Drosophila melanogaster: one gene and its partner. Changing the gene in region 1 together with any one later gene gives a genetic interaction. Each region holds a gene or a part of one and is shown in the gene's direction. Other genes may lie near its edges.

The links.
Region 2: of Wee1 (region 1) and Myt1, changing one suppresses a phenotype caused by changing the other (phenotypic suppression), as found in Drosophila melanogaster (one study listed by BioGRID).

Annotation. Positions count from the first base shown.
Region 1 is NT_033779.5:6,910,438-6,915,868, reverse strand, and holds Wee1 (Wee1 kinase), read left to right. Parts: upstream 1-1,730; 5' UTR 1,731-1,941; coding exon 1,942-2,443; intron 2,444-2,587; coding exon 2,588-2,924; intron 2,925-2,980; coding exon 2,981-3,685; intron 3,686-3,786; coding exon 3,787-3,920; intron 3,921-4,016; coding exon 4,017-4,168; 3' UTR 4,169-4,779; downstream 4,780-5,431. Other genes in the region: CG32829 (uncharacterized protein), read left to right, coding at 1-186; x16 splicing factor, read left to right, coding at 469-826; Rat1 5'-3' exoribonuclease, read right to left, coding at 4,977-5,431. UniProt on the Drosophila melanogaster protein: Acts as a negative regulator of entry into mitosis (G2 to M transition). This kinase specifically phosphorylates and inactivates cyclin B1-complexed CDC2.
Region 2 is NT_037436.4:5,776,764-5,781,377, reverse strand, and holds Myt1 (Myt1), read left to right. Parts: upstream 1-1,786; 5' UTR 1,787-1,836; coding exon 1,837-2,791; intron 2,792-2,853; coding exon 2,854-2,999; intron 3,000-3,055; coding exon 3,056-3,420; intron 3,421-3,478; coding exon 3,479-3,614; 3' UTR 3,615-3,902; downstream 3,903-4,614. Other genes in the region: Pmi, read right to left, coding at 381-541, 604-788, 846-994, 1,245-1,267; vito (viriato), read left to right, coding at 4,113-4,174, 4,234-4,614. UniProt on the Drosophila melanogaster protein: Acts as a negative regulator of entry into mitosis (G2 to M transition) by phosphorylation of Cdk1 specifically when Cdk1 is complexed to cyclins. Mediates phosphorylation of Cdk1 predominantly on 'Thr-14'. Also involved in Golgi fragmentation.

The DNA of each region.
Region 1 (5,431 bases):
GGCAAAAAGAAGGGTCACAAGAAGCACCACGGACACTACAAGAAGGGTCACCACGACGAGGACCACAAGAAGTACAAGAAGGAGCACAAGTACGGCGACAGCTTCGAGGAGAAGAAGGAGCACGGCGAGAAGGGCTCCAAGAAGCACGGCCACAAGCACTACAAAAAGAAGGGCGGCAAGCATTGAGCAAGCTATATTATACATGTGATCTTTATGTGAAATGCAGAATTAAAACTGGGAGAGGTTCTAGAATATTATACTGTCTTGTGTTTTATTCAATAAGCTGTTAAAACTTAATCTGCTAAAAGCTAGTTTTGATACTTACAATGTTTCAAATAATATAGCACACTATAATATATTTAAATGTATTAGTATATTAGTATATACATATATAAGGTAGCTTAAATTGTTACGTTTTTTGAAAAGCCTGATAGCTAATCACGACGATTTATCCCATTTCATTTCCAGAAGCAACTCATTCAGCAGATCTCGGAGCACATCGCGACGCAGGCGCACTCGCTCCAAGTCCGGAACTCGATCCCGCAGTCGCTCCGCCGGCTCGGTGGGCCGTCGCTCCGGCCGCTCGAACGGACGGGACGAGAACGGATCGGCGTCGAGGTACAGCGACCACGAGCGCAACGGCAGTGGAGCGGTAGATTCACCGCCGCCGCCAAAACGGCGCTATGAGGATGAGGACGATGACCGGGTTAGGGGATCGCCGCGGTCGCGTTCCCGATCTCGATCGGCGTCGCCAGCGGTGCGCCGTGGATCGCCGCCCAGGCGTCGTGGTGACTCGTCCGCCTCACGATCCGTTTCAAGGGACTAGCGACAGCGAACGGATGCAGACGGAGCCCGACATGCGATGATGAGGGCCGGAGCTGCAACCCCCCGATGAATCCGGCGAGATGGGCTCTCCACGCACTGGACTCTAATCCTCATTCCCAAAAGAAACAACCTCACGTGTAACAAGACAGATTCCCAAATACTTTTTCATGCAGTATCCATCTAAGGTTTTTAGTTGTCCAAAACCATATTAGTTAAGGGTTTTAATTTATAGTGGAACTCGAGTTTGCATATTTAGGTATTCTAATGTTCCAACACAACAACAAATACAAGCACACGCAGAACAAAGGAGAGCGCTTCGGAAAATCATTTGACGGAAGGAAATTTAAGATATAGAAATGTATCGGCAGCCGCAGATTAACGATCTAGTCAGGATTGCTATGTAAATTGATTTGCCTTGGATTTTATTTTGCTTACCCTGGAATTATACTCGAATGTGCAGAGGACGAAGCATCGCCACCATTTTCATGTCAATTTTACACAATTTTCAATTTATGCAACACAACAACTTGATTATTTGACTCCAATCTCTGTATGATGTGTTTCTATATTCGTAATAATTAAGTATTGCAACAGTGCATAATAATTATTCATACATTGATGTCATAGTTAAGTATTAAAAAAATACATATGTATGGATTCTTGAGATGTGTGTTTGAATTATGTAGCAAATGCGCTGAACACTAAAATACAGATATTCAATCAATAAATTAAATGCCAAAATTAGTTGTTTTCCATTTGAATTTGGCGGGCTTTATGCGGTCTTGAACAAGTCTGGTCACTCAGTTTAGAAGTAGGTGCGCATTATTTAAATTGGTATTTTTGCCAGATGTTTAGTATTTTGTTTGTTTGGTAACTCTGCACTTCCAGTTACTTAGTATTTTTTCAGTCAGAGCTGGTATTTTATTGCGCATCGGGTACGGCCACATTATTAGACTAGCATTCCTCCAGTTAAATTTTGTTTTGTGTTTTGTTTTGCATTTTTTTTAACTATTGCCTTTACTTTACTGCCGCCGGCTTCCATACAAATAGTTCTGAAATCAGAAATAACGAACAGAATCGTCTTTCAACGTGGTCAGCTGGACAGCTACAGCAACAATGGCATTCCGCCAGTCGGAGCACGAGATGAGCGTCACCTCACTCGATTCAAGCGTCGAACTGAGATCGCGTTCGCCATCGCCGCAGGTCTTCAATCCGCGCAAGCTCCGCTTCGCCGATGATGACTTTGACAAGGACACGCCCGAGGGAGCGAGTCCGCAGCATCCCCTTCAGCAGCGGCCGAAGCTATCCTCCGGTGAGGAGCAGCAGCTGGACAGTAAGATAGGCAAAGAAGGCGGCGACGGGGACGTGTCCATGTCGCCGCCATGCCAAAAGGTGCGGGCCCTGCGACTCTTTAGCACACCGGCCACTCCAAAGACCATCCTGCAGAAGTCGACGACGCAGTGCAGCAACCATCTGTCGGCGGCAGCAGCGGCAGTGAATGCCTCCAGGCGCAGCGACGACCTCTTCCGCCTGTCAGAGCGCCCGCGATCTCTGCCACTGCACAACCGCAAACTGCCCACCCAGGACACGGCAAATGTGAACCCCTTCACGCCAGATAGTAAGTTTAAAACGTTTCTCGCTTTTGATATTTTAATTAAATAAAGGTATCAATTTCCAGTTCGTTGCTTTAATTTGCACTCCACTTTAACCCATCCCAGCTTAGTCTTATTAGCAATCTAATAATCATTTTTTTTATTTTTAGGCCTCATGGCTCACAATAAGAAGCGCTGTCGCACGCAATTCGGACGCGAAAACCTCAACCTGAACGTGAATGCTATGCAAAAGTATTTGCTCAGTGATGCCTGCGACGACGATGTGACGGAGGAGGCGGGCGACTCGATGCGCGAAATCCACCAGCAGGCACCCAAGCGGCTGGCCCTGCACGACACGAACATCAGTCGCTTCAAGCGGGAGTTCATGCAAGTCAACGTAATCGGCGTTGGCGAGTTCGGTGTGGTGTTCCAATGCGTCAATCGACTAGATGGCTGCATATATGCGATTAAAAAGAGTAAGAAGCCGGTGGCAGGCAGTTCTTTCGAGTGAGTATTCATTAGTTATTGCAACGAGCGTCGTTTAACAATCTATTTGCTTGCAGAAAGAGAGCCCTGAACGAGGTCTGGGCCCATGCTGTATTGGGCAAGCACGATAACGTGGTTAGATACTATTCCGCGTGGGCGGAGGACGATCATATGCTGATACAGAATGAATTCTGCGATGGTGGCAGCTTGCACGCGCGCATCCAAGATCATTGTTTGGGTGAGGCAGAGCTAAAGATTGTTCTCATGCATGTGATAGAGGGCCTACGCTATATTCATTCAAATGACCTGGTGCACATGGATCTGAAGCCCGAAAACATATTCTCCACCATGAATCCCAATGCACACAAGCTGGTGGAGGTGCAGCCGCAGCAGACCAAAGATGACGATGGCATGGACAGCGTCTATGAAGAACTGCGCCATTCAGAGAATCTGGTTACGTACAAGATCGGCGACCTGGGACACGTGACCTCCGTTAAGGAACCCTACGTCGAGGAGGGAGACTGTCGTTACCTGCCCAAGGAGATCCTTCACGAGGATTATTCGAATCTCTTCAAGGCCGACATATTTTCCCTGGGCATCACGCTGTTCGAGGCGGCCGGCGGTGGTCCGCTGCCTAAAAATGGACCCGAATGGCACAACTTGCGAGATGGCAAGGTGCCGATTCTGCCGAGCCTGAGCAGGGATTTTAACGAGCTCATAGCCCAGATGATGCATCCTTATCCCGACAAGAGGCCCACTTCGCAGTCTATATTCAGTCATCCGTAAGTAAATTGAGTCGACAGTATAAGCGACAATCATATTTAGTTGCATTTAAGATAAATGTGCTCACACTAAATACATATAATGTTCGTTTAATTTGCAGAATTCTGAGTGCTGTTGACTCCAAGAGCAAGCTGCAGCTCGGCCTGGAGCTGACCGTGGAGAAGCGCAAGAACGAGATACTGATGAACAAGCTGAGAGAGGCCAAAAAACAGATTAAACTGCTCGAGCAACGAGGTAAGATAAGATAAATAGTTGTATAACAACTTAAACTTTAAGGTGGTTGGTTATCTGGATGTTTACAATTTCTAACGTTTCTGCAACTCATTTTAGTCAATCTTCTTGCGGTGACTAACAATCCGGACAGTCTGGATGGACAGCGTTGCCTTCGCAGCTTCACGCGACGCATGCGCACGCCATTCTCCAGCCATGGCAAGTTCGACAGCATATCCGATCGCAACAAGAACGTTATCACCAATATCTGATAAGCTCGCAACAGATGCCGAACCGATAGCTAAACTCTTCCGAATCGAACGTGAACTAAGCTCACATTGTGTTACCTTTTAAGCGTATTCATATAATCGATACATATTTCTAACTATTCGCTTTCGTTTAAGCTCATGGATTTTGAAGCATTCGTAAATATAATCTATATATTTTTCAAGCTCAGTGAACTTTTCCCTGTTAAGAAAGCACAATCGTTTTAAGAAAAGCCCCTTGTAAACTTTAAGATTCTCGCATAGTTGTAATGAGTATTGTTTTCGAAATTAAAATATTTATTATGTTACATGGAAATCGAAATAATAACATTCCATTCGTTAAATATAGCGAATGCTATTCCATAAAAACTACTGGATTTATTATGACTCCGGATTTAAAACAAAATGTTTGCGAAGTTTTTCTTAAATTCAATTGTTTACTCCACTAGAAATTGTTTTGATATTATCCAATTTCCTGTCAAATTATGTTCCATTTTCCTTATCTGAAAATAACAATCGTCTCATTTTTTTGTATTATCCAGCTAGTTTGCTTTTTTTACGCAATCAATGGAAAGAGAAATGATCATTATTGTAATTTGACTTATTTTCTTTGAGGCACTAAGACTAGATGTTGGCTGTAAGCTGCTTTGATAGAAATGCAATGGGTATTTCATTTAAAGAACAAACTCAGAACTTGGCATGAGTTTGTTTGGAAATCCTTAATCAGTATATTTTCTTCATTAAAAAATAATGTAAATTAATATGGATTACACTTTTGTTATGCGCTACATATTATATTGTTTGTATGATACACCTAAAACCGTCTATAATTCTGATTCTGTTGCCTGCTGCCGCCTTGTTGCTGGTAGTTGTTGTTCCTTGGACCATTATAGTTGTTAAAGTTGCGCTGCTGCTGATTCGAATTGTCCTGGTTGAATCTCTGATTGTGGCCATATTGCTGCTGCTGTCGGTTATTGTAGTTGTTTTGATAGCCGCCACCCTGGTGCTGATTGTAGTTATTGTTGTAGTTGTAGTTATAGTTTCGGCTATTGTTCTGATAGCTCTGTCCTTGGTTTCCGCCTATTCCCTGGCCGTAGCCGCCTCCTTGCCCGTAGCCTCCTCCTCCACCTCCATTGCCACCGCCACCCTGTTGGTTCCTTATGCCAGCGTTCAGCATGCGGTGACCACTATCCGGAACGTAGGCCCTGGTCAAGTGGCTATTAAAACCGATGACGGGACGATGCTTGTTACCAGACTGCTCATTTGGCA
Region 2 (4,614 bases), on another chromosome or scaffold:
TTGCTGATATCTTCAACTAGACTCTAATAACAATCATAAATGGGTTTCGCTTTATACACAGAGGTTGGCTTTGCTTAATTTACAGTGCAGAGGCTGCTCCTCCCTTAAGACTAACTTGGGCTTGGGGACCGTAATAAGTTATGAGCATGCTAGCCAGTGCAAGTGGCAGCCACGGGAACACTGGACATGGACACTGGTTTATGGGAACATTTAAAAGTTTCACGAAAGACAATACATTGTGTTAAAATCGTTCGAAAATCTAAAAGAAATGCATTCGCCTATGTGCCTAAACTTAACTTATTAGGTATTACGCGTCCGCGAGACAGGGGACAGGCCTAATCCAGCACCTGGACATTTCAGAGCTCCTGCAAATCCCTTACTTGTAGGACCTCCAAATCTGCCAGGCGCACAGGGCAGCCGAGAGCAAGGATACGCTACGGTGCAAGTATTTGGTTTTTGAGTTGGGCGAGTAGCCCAAAATCACAGGCGAGGAGACATCTGTCAGTGGCAGTTTCTCCAACACGGTGTCATTATTTTCCACCTGAAAAACACAACCAAAGTGAGCTTCTCAATCTTGGATATCTAGAACTTTTCCTTTCATACCTGATATTGACAACATGGATCGTAGTTCCAGGAAACCGTGTACAGTCCTGTGCAAAAAATCGAGAGTGCACAAGCGGGAGCTGCAATGATGGGGCGATCCCGCCACAGCAAGCTGGCCACCAGGGAAACCACTCCAGTGGCCACCGCCGTCTTGTGCAGGCAATTGCCCACCCAAATCCAACGACCTGTGGAGATATGAAATTAATACTGTGCTTTAAAAGGAAGCACTTCCAAGTGCTTACCAGTTTCGTCGCCCAGCCGAGGCGGCTCTATAACGATGAAGTCCAACTTGGCTTCCAGCGCCTTGTCCAGCTCAGCCTCGAATCTTTCATGGGCATTGGAGCTGTCGTAGACCTCGCGGATGACATGGAAAGTGGGCACCTTACTCGTGCTGCACAATTAGAACAACAATACACGAATCAATCATGGTTATCTTGATGTGGAACTCAAGGTTAAGGTCAAGATCAAGCGCTCAGAACAACCGAAGCAGAGAAGCCATTGTGCAGACGAGATAAATGAAGAAGCCGCCTAGTAAATTGCATAACCAGGGCAGGTGCACTTGGGAACTGGGATTTGGCTGCACCCAGGTGGAATGTGTTGCGTAATCCCACTGCATTCACGTAACTAGGCGCCGTATTTACCTTTCTATATTTCTGCTAACCATTTTGCTAATAAATTTGTTGTTTTCTATGTTGTTCATAAACTCAGTGCGGCCGCAGCTGGACCGTTAAAATATACCAGGTACCTAAGGGCATAATACTGCAAATAGCAATCTTCCAAAAAAATACCGCAGTTGGGCGGCACTTTTGAATTATATCGTATTCGCAAATACCATTCTCCTTTAAAGAGCGGCCTATATATAAAGGCTTAATTCCACTATTTAGCAATTTATTTGCTTATTTACCTATATTCATAAAGACAATTAGATTAGATTAAAGTTTTTAAAAATATTTCAGTATTTCTATTGTTCTTCCAACTACTCAACTCTCCCATCTCTATTTACGATAATTGAGGCATTTAAGAGGCAAATCATGTAAAATCTGTATACGATTATAGGAGCTTAACTTAATTGAAATCAATAATTATACTCCCAATAAAGATCAAAAATATAAGATACATGTGTTAAATGAATTAGCCGGCTCTTATTGTCCCAAGCGAAGAAGCCAGGATTTCGCCGGCTGTCCGATATGGTCACACTCGCCCACTCATAAGAAAAGACACCCAAAATTGAAAATGGAAAAGCATCATCGCCTGCCCCTCCCGGAATTGCACGACGACAAACACAGACACAAACAGTGCAATGGGGAGAACAGCAATCGCTTCCGGCCGCCCAAGTACAAGACGCGTGGCTACGTCGCCGTGGACAACAACAATCTGAACCGAAGCCAATCGCTGGGCTCCTGTAGCACCAACAGTTCCCAGATCGCGCACGCGATCTCCTTCCGGGACGCCGGATGTTCGGATTCCAGTACGCTGCCCTCGTCACCAGTCCAGGCCGAGCTGAGCACCCTCTCCCTGTCACACTTCGAGCAGTGCTTCGAAAGGCTGGCCAAACTGGGCGAAGGATCCTTCGGCGAGGTATTCCAGGTGCGCGATCGCTCCGACGGCCAGTTATATGCCGTCAAGATCTCCAAGCAACTGTTCCGCGGCGAACAGTACCGCGCAGAGCGGCTGGAAGAGGTGCGGCGCTACGAGGAGTTCTCCGGCCATGAGAACTGCATCCGGTTCATCCGCGCCTGGGAGCAGTACGACCGACTGTACATGCAAATGGAGCTGTGCCGCGAAAGTCTGGAGCAGTACTTGCTGCGCTGCCAAAGGATACCGGAGGAGCGCATCTGGCACATCCTGCTGGATCTGCTGCGGGGTCTCAAGTCGCTGCACGACCGGAATCTCATCCATCTGGACATTAAACTGGACAACGTTCTGATCGGCGAGGACGACGAGACGTGCAAGCTGGCAGACTTTGGACTGGTCATCGATGTGGACAGGGCCAACAGCCATCACGCCACGGAGGGAGATTCGAGGTATATGGCTCCAGAGATCCTGCAGGGTCACTTCTCCAAGGCTGCGGACATCTTCAGTCTGGGCATTGCCATGCTAGAGCTGGCATGCTACATGGATCTTCCTTCCAACGGCCCACTGTGGCACGAACTGAGGCACGGCATTCTGCCCGAGGAGTTCATAAACAGTGAGTTGCGAACTAGCTGCCTACTTAAATGGCAGGTTGCTAAAGCCTTTCTCTTCGCACAGAAATATCACTGGAGCTGCAGTCGGTAATTAAGTCCATGATGAAGCCCGATCCTGCGCAGAGGCCGACGGCCGAGCAGCTACTCTCACATCCCAAGCTGCAGTACCTGCAAAAGAAGCGCAAGTCGCTGATGAACTTCAGCATGCTGGTAAGCATTCCCAAGCACATCTTTGAGAATCAATCTTAACCCTTGACAACTTGCAGTCGCGTAGTTTTAGGCGATCTCGCCGCGCCGTTTGGGGAAGAATGTGCAATTGGAAAACAGCCGCCTTTCGTTACCTTCTATACTTCCTGGAGGTCCTGCATCTATGCAAGCCCATAACGGCCTCACAGCCCAATATTAACATAGTGCCCTCCTCGCCTTCGTCAAAGGGAGTGCCTCTGGTGCCTCAGGTGGAGTTCCAGCTGGTAGGATCCACACCCATTGCCAATCGTGACTGCTATGCCTCCGACTTCCTTTCCGGCGAGGACCCGCTGGACCTCTCCAATCAGGGTAGCCCCAACGTAATAAATTCCACGCCATTGAACACAAACCAAGGCAAATCCCGTCTGGATTTGCTAAAGAATAAGTAAGTACCCTTAATCGATTAGCTCATGGACTAGCGCACATAACCCATCCGCTTTCAGTGTTGATTCAATGGGCAGGTACGTTCATGTACACGATTTCGAGAGTCCGTGTTCCGCCCTATCTTCCGCCAAGGTCCTGGACACCTCATCGTTCCGACGCAAAAAGCTCTTCGTCCTGGAATATGACGACGAGTGAGTGAGTACGGTGCCAGCGAGCAACGTAAACCGAATGAATTTATGATAAACCCAATATATATCAGTTACGAAACGAATACCAGATACATATGGCAACAGAATATATCGTTAATTGTATTTTGATTAGTTCTAGACCGTAGTGTTGTACGAAGTTCCCTAGATATAGTCTTACGATTGTGTAATGTTAATGCTTCTTTAGAAGAACTTGTTGAACTTGAACATATAATCATGTGATATATATACGAAAAGCGATTTGAAAAGTTTAAAAATAAAAAACTTATTGAAATTGAAACCTGCACTGAATGCCATCTATGACATATGATAACAACAAATTAAAGGTAAAAACCAAGAAACGTATAACTATAAAAATTTTTTTTAAAACATTTTTGAATTCTAACGTACCTTTCGTTTCGGGGAAAAGTATTTTGCCCATCTGGTAACACTGGCCGCTCGCACATGTTGAAAACGTAAACAAAAACGAGTAGCACAATTTTTGAAAATGACCAGGAAAAAGGCTCCTAAGAAAAAAACAGAGGTTGTATTCGACAACAAGAAACGCATGTAAGTAAGGAGACACAGAATCCCCGGAGGATACTAATGCCCACATCCCAATCCCGCAGAGAGTTTCTCAGTGGCTTCCGGAAAAGAAAGAATGAGCGACGATCGCGTGCAAAGGCGGATCTGGAAAGAAACCTTAAGAACGAGCGCAAGCGCATACGGCAGGAGGTAAAGGATGGCTTTAACCACCTGAAGAAATCCTTCGAACCGCTGCGCGAGCTCACCGAGGAGGACAAGGCCGAGGAGGCGGAGCAGCAGCAGGAGGAGACCTACGAAGATGATGAAGTGCAGGTGAAGATCGTGGAGCTGACCACCAACGATCTGGCCGCCAAGCGCAATATGTTGGGTGCCAACACGGCAGAGGAAAGCGAACCGGAGGAGCAGGCTGACCAGAGCGAGGAGGACGAAGCCGACCAGGCCAATAGGATACCCGGCATGGATTT